2 linked regions of the Drosophila melanogaster genome follow. Each later gene encodes a partner of the first gene's protein in a complex. Each region holds a gene or a part of one and is shown on either strand. Other genes may lie near its edges.

Region 1 (8,247 bases):
ATGGAGATGGCACATCGCGCTATCGACTATCGACTTTAAAATATATATATATAAATGTATTGGAATAGACGATAAGGGTATTTGCCATTCTTAGAGACCTTGCTTAATTGATAAACGATCGACTGAAGTTGTATTAAAGTAATTCTTATGGGGTTAATGGCCGCTTTGAGTTAATTTTCCCAATAGCTTTTTGTTTCCGAATCTTGTGCAATTAAATATTAAAGCTAGTAAATAAAAATAGCGAAATAAAAAGCTTTGATTACCGTTAGTATATAAGTGCCAGTATAAAATAATCACCACTAACGTTGGCTCGTTCAGCTATCGATACCTACTGCCCGCCGGTAATAGTGCTGTACAACGAGTACATGTCAATCGCTGCACGCTAAGTATCGGTCGACGCCCATCGCTATCAAAAAGAAATTTTAGTGCTGAGTTAAGAATTTTTCCCTTTTTTTGCACAGTTTACGCGGTTTTTATAAACAAGGGGCGTAATAGAGCTCAAGGCAGGGTATAAAACAGTCAATAGGGTTAAAAGTTGCAACCCTAAAACGTCTTACAAAAGAGAATACTCGCAGGAAAAACCAACAACAATGCACATATAGCTGCCCGTGCGTCTGTGTGTGTGCGTTGTATGTGCGTTTTTTTTTGTTTATTTGGCAAATTCGGTGGCCTACGTGATTAAAATAAGCACAAACAGTCTTAAGTGAAATGTTGGCTAAAACGCCCGAGTGCCGTAATTCGCATTGATAACAAATAGCCATAATCTGCGAGCGTGTGTGTGTGTGATTGCCTCAGTTGGCGTAGGTGAGGTGGGGTAAAAAAAGCTGGGAGAGCTGTCAAGGTTAAAATCGGTCGTCGCCTTTGGCTCTCCTCTCCCGCAAAATGCAATGAGCAGGGGTCGCGGAAAGGTCAGGGATTCAGCAAGCCATTCCGGCTCCCACTCCGCATCCAAATCGGCCATGGACCCGCCGCGCTGCTCCATCTGCGGCACTCAGCAGCAACTACTGCGCTGCGCCAAGTGCAAGGCCGTCTACTACTGCTCCCCCGCCCACCAGCATCTCCATTGGCCCGACCACCGCACCGAGTGCCGCCTCCTGACCCGCCAAAAGCTCAACAGCAGCAACAACAATAAGCAGCAGCAGCGGCAGCAGATCCAGCAACTGCAACAAGCTGTGGCATCTGCCAATCTGGAATGCAGCGGCGCCGGCGCCAACTGCTCCACCGCCCAGATGATGACGCCTGCCCACCAGGCGCAGAGTTGGCCCGCCGAGGTAGACAACCTGCTGAATCTCCTCGGGCAGCCGGGCAGCCAGGAGAAGGCTGCAGCTGCGGAAACGGAAACAGGTCAAAGGCAGCAGCAGCACCAGCATCATCACCATAATGGCGAAAAGAGCTCCAGCTATCAAATCGGTCTGGCGGATGCCAGCTTCATGGGATCAGGAAGGTAGGTCGTCAGTGGACAGGTCAGATGTTTCAGTTTCAACAGTTTTATGCTAAAACATAAGTTAAAAATGTATAATACTATAATACTGCTCATGGTGGCACGCTAGAAGAGATATATTTTTCTTAGAAGCTCTTTTGAGCCTGCATAGTGCCATAGTATTTTATTAGATGCAATCAAATATCAGCTGATCTTTTATTGAAGATGGAAAAATATTCTCCATGAGATAGAAAATCATTCCTTGTACCTACTGGGCTTTTAAAAATAATATAAGATTAACGCTGAATATCGAATTAACACTTAATTTGGAAGAAGCATGGGAGGTTGACTTAAAACCTTAAAAGCTTTTCTATCAGACAATTTCGGCCAGCTTTACCAGATCGACCAACGAGTGCATTGGCTTCATCAGTTGCCCCAGTTCCTTACCCTCCACTGCGTCCGAACGCATAGGCTGCTGCATCTTGTTGTGTGCCCTGTATGCCCGACATTCATCCAACACCCGCTCTAACTCCGCCCCAGTTAGGTTCGAATCAGCAACGGATGTCTCCCACTGGGGTCTCTGCATTTGCTGGTCAACAGTGATTAGGGACTCCTCTGCTTTGACTCCTCCATCCGATGCATAAATCGTAGCCACTGCTGCTCCAGCTCCTTCGAGCATGGCTAAAACGAGGCAGCCCACAAAGGCACTGTTGGCCATGGCTCGAATTCCATTCCGGGCGGCTAAAATTCCGCCAGTGGCCGCTCCGCTGACAATCGCGTTCCAGGAATCCTCCCTCTGGCGGTACGAGACCATGACGCAGTCCACCGTGCTGAAGGTGGCGCCCCAAATGGCAAAGCTGCCGGCTATGGCCGGTGTCCGCAACCTCACCGATTCTATACCGCCGTGCAAGCCACGTCGAAGACCGGACGGAGCGTTTCGGAATCCCTTGAGGTACTGAAACAACGATCCTCCCATGGTGCCCATCATAAAGGCGCACCCGCAATCCTCTACAATCCTGATGGGACACGGCTGGCGATTGTACTCCATGTTCGGGTGATGTACTGACCAAAAGAATCCGTAATTAATTCAAAACTTGATTTGTAGTGAACTTTCCTTGTTTTGCGAATATGTGCTATCAGCTTTTGACCAATATGGCCTTTGATTAAAAACGTGTGTTTATAGATTATACATAACTTTGAGAATGTTGCCTTACGACTTTTACGTCCGTTCTAACTAGATACAAATATTTACCAATGGTCCTACAAACGAAATATACAGTTTGTCAAGAAACTGTTTACACACTGTGAAATAAGTTGAATTTTTGACTTTAAAGCTAAAAATTAAAGGTTTTTTGCTTAATTAAACGCATTTTTTTTATAAAATATAATTAAACAATATTTATTTTACTTATAAATCAAAAAACAAATTAAAAATATTAAATATACAAGAAAAAAAACAACAAATTCCAAGTTTAAACACTTTTGAGACTGTCAAGAAACTCTTTACACAAAACACTAAATCGATGTTTAATCCTAAATTTTTAAATTATTTTATTAAAATTTTAAAAGTTTTGGTATGTAGTATGTTCCCCATTGGCTTTAGCTACAAGTTGAAGCCCTTTTTTCATGGATTGGACAAGTTTTTGCAGGTCATATTCAAACGGGATCTTTTCACACTCTTCGACTATTACAGTCATAAGCTGTTGTTGTGTTTTAGGTTCCTTTTTGCCACCTTCTTCTTTAAGTAGGTCCACAAATTTTCAATGGGGTTCAGATCAGGACTCTGAGGGGGCGTATCGATCACTTTACCACAGTTATAAGGGCGCCAGGTGCGTACATTGCACTCTTTATGTTTCTGATCATGTCCTCTTAAAATATAAAATTTGGCTTGTTGTTGCTAACTAGATCAAATTTTTCTGCACTGGCCTTCAAATTTGTTTTTTAAAATTCCTAGATATTGCACGGCAATTATTGTGCCCTCAATTAAGGCTAGTTTTCCCACTCTACGGCTGGTGATACAGCCCCAAACCAACAGTGACATTTTTCCAAATTTTATCGTTGGAATGATATTTTGTTTTTCTAGCGCACTCAACGGTTTGCGCCATACTCTGCTTGGCCCGTCGTTATAAAAGAGCATCATTTTTGTTTCGTCACCAAATATGACGTCATCCCAGTACTCTTCCGCATGATCCATCATGCTCACTGCGAATAAATGACGCTTTTCAATATTGGCATCTGATAGCAAAGGGTTTTTCCTTGCAACTCTTGAAGAGTACCTATGGCGTAGGATGACTTGGCGCACAGTTTCGTGTGACACAGCTAGGTGACATTCTTGCCTGATATCTAGAGCAAGTGATCTGACCGAGATTCGGGGGTTCGCAATCACTATTCGCATAATAAAGCAGTCTACACGCTTTTTAATTTTAATTTTCCGCCCACCACCACTCTTAGGTTCAAGCCTGCCCTCTTTTTCCGAGCCTTTTAAAACATTGTAGACGGTCTTACGGGATACAGGAAACATTTATACTAATTCTGGAAAAGATTTTTCCAACTGGTGGTTATAGTTTATTAATTGGGTAACTTCAAAAGTTAATCTCTTTCCAGGCATTTTATTAAATTTAATAATTCGCTTTAAGCACGTTTGATCAGCAAAATTTCACAAGCAAAGTCAACAAATTTCAATAGAAGCGTTGTAAAAAGCAATGCAAAGCCAAAAATAACGGAAAAATCGAGTTCGTTCTAAGAAAAAGAACAAAACAAAGTAGGAAAACAAAATGTGTAAAGAGTTTCTTGACAGTCTTAAAAGTGTGTAAACTTGGAATTCGTTGTTTATTTTCTTGTATATTTAATATTTTGAATTTGTTTTTTGATTTATAAATAAAATAAATATTGTTTAATTATATTATTTAAAAAAATTTCGTTTAATTAAGCAAAAAACCCTTAATTTTTAGCTTTAAAGTCAAAAATTCAACTTATTTCACAGTGTGTAAACAGTTTCTTGACAACGTACATAGATCGAGCAAAAACTTGTACAAGAAAAATGCCACTCAGATATTGATGAGTTATTTTCAATATCTTATTGAAAACATCCAAATGACTCGGTAGAATAGATTTTCTACGTTTTGGTGCAAGCTTATCTTGAATTTGATTAGCCATGATTTCACCTGATAACTAGTTATTAAATGTAACTGAACCAAGCACCGCGATTAGCTAGCCGACCGCACACTTGAAGTTGCGTTTGCAGTTTGTCCCGGAGCGAAATCTATAGCCCCAAATATACCCCACTAGGTGCATCCTCCTGCTCGTAGCCCCCTATCGTCTTCACTTGCACATCAAGTCAATTACGATAAGCGGTTACGTGCCCACTCCTGAGAAGCCTCACGAATCAACAGCAGAACATGACACAGCTGATGACATATCGCTCATATGGCGCTGAAGTTTATGGTTTTCGCGATCCTCAAGCTTCTTCGCAGCTGATTTATTGGTTGTTGATATACAGCTTATACTAGTTACCTCGCAAAAGGTCCTATAACACAAATCAAAACATTGAATAGCACTGCTAGATCATCTTAGATCGCTTGGGTGAATTAGTATAATTGTATTAGCCAAACCATGGCTCATTTTGGAACTGCTGCTGTTAAAGTATACACAAATCATATGATATAATATTACAGGTGTTCAAGGTAAAGCTTCCAATCCAATGGGGAACCAGGAAAGGACTCTTTAGGAGACAAACACTTGGTGTTGGTTTTAGATTGATGTCTGCACGTACTACATAGGCTGTCCGATATTCTCAGACGTAAAAGTTTAAAAATAGAAACAGTTTGTTTTCCCATTCAACTCATCGCATTGTCAGATGAGATTCGTAATTGCCCTGCGATTTGACTGTCTCCGGATTGCTAACATTCTGCTCCGAGATGGCACCTCTCGAGTCGAGTATTTATTTACCTTCGGCATTACGTGCCCGGCCGCATAGTGTATATGGCACCCATGCCCGATCTGATAGCACCTGCAATCGCAGCCGGACTCGCATTCTTCCGGGCGGAGGTGCTGACTTTGTAATTATTCTGTTGCGCAGTTTGTTGCGTCCAAATCTTTAATACTCGCTTATTTATTTTGCTTTGCACCCCGGCATTAACGAATACAACAAACATGAACCGCACACATCGGAGCACATATAGAAATTTGTTCGTAATTTTATCTTTCAGCCAATCCGGCTGAGTCATCATCAACCCCACACTGTGCAGTAAATTATTTTGTGTTCCTGGATGTGCAGTTGTAGCTAATAAGTGCAACATATGAACTAATTCAGATAACTTCCCACCCGATAGTTATGATATTTTCTTTTTACTTGGATACACAAATAAAAGCCTTCATTTTTCTATGTTACTGTTGCAAATCGATTTTGTCAGGTGCAGTATTTTCTACCTTCTTATCGCCCGAAGTGGGTGGGTGGTCCGTTCGGCCGGGAGGTCCGGAGCGTTTTGCCTACGTGCCGGGAATACGCAAGCGTATCGTTCAAATCGTGTTATCAGAGTTTAGCGAATGCCTTAGCTCCGAGATTTCAATCTGCGGCGGGATGTGTTGTTCTTTATCAAACAATTAGCGCAGTCGGACCGACGTGATCTCATTTCCAGGGGCTTGCAAAATTCCGTCATTGTTTAGAAATGTGCTAAAATACATGTGTCAAGCAACTTGCTGGGAAAAACAAACAATACGGTTGCGCAAAACTCGATGAACAGAAAAAGTCGAAAAAACCGCATCTTGTCGCCACCGAATTCCAATTTGAATCAGCAATATTGATAGGAAAAGTCAATATGGAATCAATCCATTCGCGGATAGTTTGCTCTGCTACTTTTTGATTTGCCTAAGATTCAGCCAGAATGCATTCACCTTAGCGTTGCTCACCTCATTTTTTTTCATTTCCGAACTTGAATGTCTAAATGTAGTTTTGAAAGCAGAGAAAGTGCTTTCCAGTTTAAATCAAATAAAGTTTATTTAGATCGAATATCTTGCGATGTGAACTATGCAACCATTGGAAACATTAGAAATATAAAACTATTGCAATGGTATTTAGTTTAAAAATATTCGTAAATTTCCTAGGGATTTCCTTAAAGGTTCCCCTTTTCTATTTATGTTATCCACTTCCAATTGGGTGTAAACCCATGTCTGTGGTCTCCTTCAGCTGTGTGATGGATTCCCAGTGATGGATCTCGAACCCAGTGCGAGCCCGAGCGAGCTACGTAGGCAGACGCACGTCACCAAGGTCGACTGCCACTCAGTGCGTGTGCGTCGCCACGCCCCTCTCCCAGGTGCTTCTCCGCCCACCAAAAGGGCTGCGAGTTGGTGTGGTACACGTGCCGCAGTCGCCGTTGTCGCACGTAATACATCACAGACAAAAAGGGCGCCAATCGATCATTACAATGTACACGAAAACGTGTTTGCACTAAAAGAAATCAGTTCAGTTTAGTGGCCATTTTGCTTCGAAACTGGGTTGTGTGGGACTTATTATTATTGTTAGCCCAAGGGTATTACCAAATAATAAATAATGTATAGACAGGACAGAAGATAGAATAATCTTTATTCCTATTCCATAAGATACTTTTGATATTTTTCGTTACCAATTTTATGACTGATTTATTTATTATATATATATATTATATTATTATATATATTATATATCTTGGTTACAGAATGTTGGGCAGATTTCTGGGATATTTCTTTATTTTAATGGCGCTTTAAAAGGTCTCCCCGATTTCTCTGCGTGCACGTTGTTTGGCGGCGACTTTGAACTGGGCCGTTGACCCAATTCTTTGGTTCGCACATTCGCCTAGCTTCCGCGTGCTTCCGCCGTTCTGTGCCTCATCTTCGTTAGTGTTTCTTAAGCATTTTTAGCAGATATTTGTATCAAACATTTTAAATATCTACATTATCGCTGACCTTCTCACACTCCCTTCGCTGGCGACCATCTCTTTCTGACTCACTTGGCTCTCGCATTAACGCCTGTGCGTGTGGCTTCTTTGCGTTTGTATGGGTCGCTCGCATGTGCGTGTGCCAATTGCGCATTGGTGTGTGTGCTGGGCTACGTGACGATTGTTGCGCTTGTCTTTCTGCCTTACTGTTTGCCTCCGCTTTTCCCCGCTTTTACGTTTGCAATTGGTTTGGCTTGGCAGAGAGTGTTTAAACTCTCTTGAAGGGCAAGCGGAACGAGTAGCTTCCTCCCGCTTTCTGGAACCTTGCGGGGTATCCGATCCCATAAATTGCACGTTCAGTTCGGTTTTTCGCTATCTGCAGCTGCCTTTTACCTTTTACCAATATGTACGTATTTTTCATTATTTGCTCTCACCTACCAAGGTGCTGCTTATCGCCTTAAGCGGCTGCTTCTCCTTCGATTATTTAGCTGCTTCCCAGGCCCCCAACTTTCTGATTTACTCGTAGTTTCATGGACGCTCTGAGATAGTGATGAACGGATTTGGGAGGCGGACAGAAAATAGCTAGAAAAATTTGGTTACAGCAAACGAACTACAATTTGTAGTCCAAACTAAACCTTTTCTACGATCTTGATGTTATCGTATTAAACGATTGTATTCCGAATCCGGGATAGACGTACAGTTCACCTTAGCCAATTTTGAACTGGGGTTTAAATGCCTCAAGTATTGCTCGTAGATGTCCATTTAATTTATAAACGTTAACACATGTTCGACTAACACACCAGAATTCGAGCACTCATAATCTAGTTTTTGGCCATAAAATAGCTAGATTGTTTTCACCTGCTCTTAAAACGCTCTGCCTCTCTCTCCTTCGTAACCAACGGTAAAGAGCGAGAG
Region 2 (6,216 bases), on another chromosome or scaffold:
AGGACTTCCTGGAGGAGTCGCTGGACTCAGCGCCGCCGACCGCTGGCGAGGCGCTGCCGTACGTGTGCACCGTGTGCCAGAAGGCGTTCCGCCAGCAGTGCCGTCTCAACCAGCACATGCGCTCCCACGTGGACGAGAAGCAATACGAGTGCGAGGAGTGTGGCAAGCGTCTGAAGCACCTACGCAACTACAAGGAACACATGCTGACACACACAAATGTCAAGCCGCACCAGTGCAGCATATGCGGCCGCTTCTATCGTACCACCTCCAGTCTGGCAGTGCACAAGAGAACTCATGCGGAGAAGAAACCCTACAACTGCGATCAGTGCGGCCGCGGATATGCGGCGTTCGATCATCTGCGGCGCCACAAGCTCACGCACACGGGCGAGCGACCATACGCCTGCGATCTGTGCGACAAGGCCTACTACGATTCGTCCTCGCTGCGCCAGCACAAGATAAGCCACACCGGCAAGAAGGCTTTCACCTGCGAGATCTGCGGCGTGGGACTGTCTCAGAAGTCGGGCTACAAGAAGCACATGATGGTCCACAGTGGCGTCAAGGCGCACAAGTGTGATGTTTGCGGGCATGCCTTCACCTTTACCAGCAACCTCAATGCCCATGTTCGCCTCCATTCCGGCGAAAAGCCGTTTAAGTGCGAGGTCTGCGTTAAGGCCTTTCCCACAAAGAAGCGACTGGCCAGTCATATGCGCGTCCACAACAAGGAGTCGCCGGTGACGGCCACCGTTGCTGTTCAGTCCATCAATCCTCCCAGCCGACAAGCGGGCGCAGAAGGTGCGACAGGCGGAGGTGCGACAGGTGGAAGTCCGACCGGTGGAGGTGCGACCGGTGGATCGGCAACCAACCTTCACATAACCGAAGTTCATGAGCAGCCGGTGTCCACCTCCAAAGTGGTGATGGTGCTGTGAGCGGCCACCAAGCCGTGGGAGCGGCTCTAGAATGTAAGCCTAGGCTAAGGATTAGACACTTAGTTCAATAAAACTGATTTTTGTTCCAGAAAAAACTGAAAGAAAATTCGACACTTATTTTTTACATACATAAAAATAATTTTGTTTTCACGATAACTATCTCAGCAGGTTTAGCCACTCTTATCCATCAATTGTGATTAGATAACGCACAGCAAGTTCTCCACTTTCGTAACGAAACACATGGATGTCTTGTTTTTGGTTTTACGGTTAAGTCGTCTCTTTATAATAATAATATTACGATTAAATTGCCAAAAAACAAAAACAAGCAAGTTTAGTTATTCAATAAAACAAAAACATGCGCCTCGTCTTTTCCCAAAGGAGCAAAAGACAGAGCGTGCCTCCCAATCCTGCTGTCTGCTGTCTGCTACTGCTTCCCACTAACTACTCCAAAAGTCGACGAAAAATATGGCCAGTGTGCTGCTGCAGGGCGTGTTTGTTGCTCCGGCGCAGGCGGAAGGTTAAGGTATGCGTATGGAACGGGTTGTGCGGTATGGCCAGCCTCCTAGCGGCCGAGAATGTTGCGCGACCACTGTTTGACCATTGGCTTGGTCTTGGACTGCTCGATGCGTTCCGCCTCCAGCATTTGTTCGGCCAGCTTGCGCTGGTTCTCCCGGAACTGGTTGATGGGATCGTCGAACTGGCGATAGTAGTGGAGCACCTCGCGCACGTCGTCCACGTTGTTCTGCGCAATTACTGTAGCGAATTGCAAGGGTCAGTGTTTAGCTTTCAATGTCACTTGTGGCGCAACTTACTCTTTAGGAAAGCGATAAGGTCCAGCAGTTGGCCATCATCGTCGTTGCCATGCCAGCGGGCCAAGCCGAATGTGTTGTCCGGATGCATCTTGGTGGCATTCGCATCCCAGTCCACAACAATCACCTAAAATACTCCCTTCTTTATAGATGATTGCAATAGAAAATACGTTGTGCATGACTTGCCTTCTTGAGGTCGCGATTAAGGTTGTCCAGGTTCTTCACATGATGGCCGTCCACAAAGTGCGTGGCATCCCTGACCAGGCGGTACATAATGTAGCCGTTGGGATCGAGGGCATCCAGGATGGGGAACACGGTCATGCCCTGTTCGGCGGTGAAGACGACAATTTCAAAGTCCTTGGCGCACTCGGCCAGAAAGTGGTCGACGCCGGGACGCTTCTTGAAGCGCCAGCCAGTTTGGTAAGTCCAGTCCGGATGCACCAGCACGTCCTTCATCTCCAGCACAAGCGTGTAGCGCGGCTGCACGTACGGCGGCTTGAGCGGATCGGGCAGCAGTTTGGCGCGCGACGGCTCCTGGATCATGCGCTGATAGTAGTGAATGCTCTTCCACATCCGCTGCAGATACTGCTGTACCAGCGGCTTGTGTGTGAACTCGTCCTCGATGGGCTGCCCGTTGGGGTCCACCTCGGGCTTGCCGAACTCGTAGACGGCCCAGAATCCAGCAGCCACGGCGCTGCCTCCGAATATTGCAAAGCTGCAGCAGGAAGTATTGTTATAATACTGTTACGCATTGAATGGGCGTCAGCTTACCCCAGCTTCATGCGCTTCCAGGCACGCTCGTTCTCCTTTTCCTCCTCCTCCTCGCGCTTCTTGCGCTCCTGCTCGGCGTTGCTGTCCACCTCCGGCGAGGTCTGAGGAAAGAGCTTGGCCAGCAGCGGGGCATTCGGTGCGACCTCGGGCGCATCATTGGGGCCAGTGGCTCCAGCTTCCTGCTCTGCGAAACGAAAGTGGCCAAGGATGAATGTTTAGGACTCTACTGTTTAGGACTCTACCGTGAATCACTTACTGGTTGTGCTGCTGTAGCCACGCGCTGTGTGCAGGATCGAGAAGAGCGCCGGAGCAGCCGCTGGCAGTGCTGTGCAAGTGAATAGTCGGAGGTACTGCTGCTGGTGGTGGAGGAGGTGGTGCTGGTGCTGGTAGTGTTGGTGGTAGTGGTGGTAGTGATTACCCAATGCGCGGTGCTGGTGGATGTGGGTAAGAAGACGCGGCGTGCTAAGGCCGCGCAGCAACTGGAGGACGGTGGCCGGTGCCATGCTCATGCTCATGCTTCCCCCTTCCTTCCCGATATCGAGTCCTAGAGCCGTTCACGAGTCCTGCTCGGATGGCAGCGACTTTTTACTTATAAAAAATTCCAACAAAAATTTCAACTTCCCACCGGCACGGCGTTGGCGTTAGGGATTTTATATACTGTCCACTGCCAGGCGGCACCAGGCGTTAGTACATTTAGCACGTGGCTCTCAGCAGGTATAGATCGGCGATTTTCAAGCCAAATCTGGCGGGATTTTGCAGATAACTGCGTGTGTACATATGTTGCCTCCGGCAATCTGACTAATCACAGTATTAAGAAAATTTTAAATTAAAATATTTTAAATAATATGGAAATACACAACCTTTGACCAACCACCAAGCCACTGTGCCTCTGGTCACTTCCAAGCTGATGTGCCTGGCTAGCTATTTTGAGTGCCACCACTAACGCATCAGCTGGACTTTGGCATCACTGTTCGGGACGCTAAATTAAGTTATTTATTTAAACGTGTATTATCTACTGTCGAGTTCAATCCATGACGACCATGTCGCCGCCGTCCCCCATGGACGCCTTGTGCCGCGTGTGCCACACAGCATCGCCGCGCTGCCTGCCGCTCTTCAAACCGCTCGACGATCCAATTTCCGGCAAACCAGCGACGCTGGCCAGCATTTTAAGCTACTGCAGCGGTCTGGAGATCCTAGAGGCGGAGCTCTTCCTGCCCCACCACATCTGCCCGGACTGCGTGGCCAAGTTGCGGCTCTCGCTGGAATTCAAGCGGAGTGTCCATCGCATGGACAGAATTCTGCGGCAGAGTCATGCGGACTTTTGCCGCAGCAAAAAGATCAGCGCGGTGAATACTAGGGCCAGGCTGTCAACCGAGATTCCGGAGGATTTTGTACTCGTGCTCGATGACCAGGAAGTGACTGAATATCCAGCAGAAACGATACGAGATGAGGAGCAACTCCTGGTCGTAGAATCAGATGAGGCGGAGAGCCGGCTGGAAGCGCCAATTGTACAGGAGGAGAGGCTGGATATTGCACTGGAACAGCACGAAGACGATCTCTGCGAGATTGTCGACGATCCGGATCCGGAGCAACGTAGGAGCAGGTTAGAAAGATCCGAGCCAGCGCTGCAATGTCCCGTGAGTTGCCTTTCCGAATTAGAAGTAAGTAATCACGAAATAGTTTCCCATCTTCGGCAGATTTGCGGCAAACAACTGGCTAGGAAGCGGACCTTTCAGTACCACATGAGGCTACATGGCCAGCCAAAAATTCGCCAAGAAGACAACGACCACTGCATTGAAGAGTGCCTCCAAGTGGAGCCCGTTTTGCAGGCCAAAGCTGGCGAAGATGTCTACGAGATTGTGGAGAAATCAGCACAGACTTCGGCGACGCAGAAAACTTTGCCCAGTGGAAGCCGGCCTTGGAAACCCCTCAATCCCTCCCTACAGTGTAAAGTAAGTTGGTCATCGCAGCTCGCAAATAACTCAAAGCCGAAGGTCATCAATTCTCCCTCCATTCCTTTAGATCTGTGGCAAGCAACTAAGCACCAACAACTCCTTCAAGTACCATATGCAGCTACATGGCACGGCCACGCCCTACGTTTGCACAATCTGCGGAGAGTCCTTTAAGACGCGAAACGCCCGCGACGGCCATGTCACGCTGCACGATCGTAACAATCCGAACAGGTGCCCCACCTGCTTCAAGGTCTACCGGCAGGCGTCCTCGCTGCGCACACACCTTCTAATCCACAGCGGAATCAAGCCATTCGAGTGCAGCATCTGCGGCAAGAGGCTAACACAGAAGTCGGGCTACAAGAAGCACATGCTCACCCACACGGGCGAGAAGCCGCACGGCTGCGACATTTGCGGCCGTCGCTTCCGCTACTCGAGCAATCTGATTGCCCACAAGCGCTGCCACAGCCAGGAGAAGCCCCACCCGTGCCCGGTGTGCCAGAAGCGCAGCTTCGGCAGCACATCCGAGCTCAACCGCCACATGCTCGTCCACAGCAGCGAGCGACCGTTCGGCTGTGAGCAGTGCGGCAAGTCCTTCAAGCGCCGCATCTCACTCGCCATCCATCGCCAGTCGCACAAGGCGGGCAGACAGCGGAGGCGGGCCGAGCATGAAGTGGGTGTCCAACTGGAGGAGCAGGACGAGAATGTGGAGACCTGAAGCTAGATCGCTTATACTATCGGCTTAATGTACAAATCGGGACATTTAGTTTTAGTTCAATTCGCTTTTATTTTCGGTACTTTCCTTCGCACAATAACAAGTTTTAAGTGTGTTCCTATTGTTAGGATAAATTTGATTGGTTTTCCCACCCAAAATAATGCGTGTTTCATACATACATATATATTATATATGGTCAACAAACATTTCGAGTCTTCTGACGATCCTTTCGATTTGATTTAATGTAATGAGCTTTAGTTTATCAGGTGGAGGCGGGAGAATCTCTATACATATGGAAGTTTCGATTGGGTTTTGTAGTTGATAGTGGCTAAGGGTGAGGGTGCGGGTGCGGGTGTGGGGACCTTAAGCTAAGCTACTATGCTGCATTGAACTTACGCGCTAGAAACCAATTAGAGTAGTGCGGAACGAGTGTGCGAGCGGGTAACAAACAAAATGGGGCTGGGAATTAAAAGTGTGGATTGGGAGCTACGCGTTACGCTGCCGCGCGATACATAAAGTTAATGTATAAATAAATATATATGTTCAGACAATGTGAGTGCTTGCTAATACTTGGCATACATAAAATGAGTATAGATCACAAAAAGTCGCGTAAAAACATAAATGTTAGTGGGTATAACGTGGGTGGGTGGGATGAGTGAGTAATGAGTAATATCAGTGGGACATGAGGCTTGGAGGCACACGTGGCTTTCCTTTCCATCGTCCAGCTTGGACGACTCTCATCTCAAGATCCGGACTTGGGTACACAAACGAAGAGGACACGACCGGATTGCCGCAGTGGCCACTGCTAATCTTTCTCCTGCTGCTGCAGCAGGGCGGCGATTTCCTGGAACTTGTGCCGAAAGTCCACGCTGCTCTCGCTGATCACCGACATGCTTGACGACGGATCCTGTGGATTAGGTTAGAGGTCGGTCCACAATGAATGTCGCAAGTGGGGAGTGTGGCATGCGTTCTGGCTTACCAGTATATCCCTGGTGGCATCAATCTCATCCAAATGCCCCAGCAGCGACGTCAACGAGAAGTCATTG

The links. Proteins that work in one complex are often made in the same cells at the same time.
Region 2: Tim17a2 (region 1) and ttm50 share a complex: the UniProt entries of both Drosophila melanogaster proteins name them as parts of the TIM23 complex.

What each region holds. Positions count from the first base shown.
Region 1 is NT_033777.3:5,256,678-5,264,924, forward strand, and holds Tim17a2 (Tim17a2), read right to left. Parts: upstream 6,016-8,247; 5' UTR 5,849-6,015; intron 2,483-5,848; 5' UTR 2,469-2,482; coding exon 1,794-2,468; 3' UTR 1,659-1,793; downstream 1-1,658. Other genes in the region: Hph (HIF prolyl hydroxylase), read left to right, coding at 888-1,444. UniProt on the Drosophila melanogaster protein: Essential component of the TIM23 complex, a complex that mediates the translocation of transit peptide-containing proteins across the mitochondrial inner membrane.
Region 2 is NC_004354.4:2,729,028-2,735,243, forward strand, and holds ttm50 (tiny tim 50), read right to left. Parts: upstream 3,164-6,216; 5' UTR 3,022-3,163; coding exon 2,763-3,021; intron 2,691-2,762; coding exon 2,507-2,690; intron 2,451-2,506; coding exon 1,922-2,450; intron 1,863-1,921; coding exon 1,739-1,862; intron 1,680-1,738; coding exon 1,489-1,679; 3' UTR 1,050-1,488; downstream 1-1,049. Other genes in the region: dwg (deformed wings), read left to right, coding at 1-926; CG2712 (uncharacterized protein), read left to right, coding at 3,538-4,143, 4,204-4,458, 4,529-5,173; crm (cramped), read right to left, coding at 5,976-6,077, 6,150-6,216. UniProt on the Drosophila melanogaster protein: Essential component of the TIM23 complex, a complex that mediates the translocation of transit peptide-containing proteins across the mitochondrial inner membrane.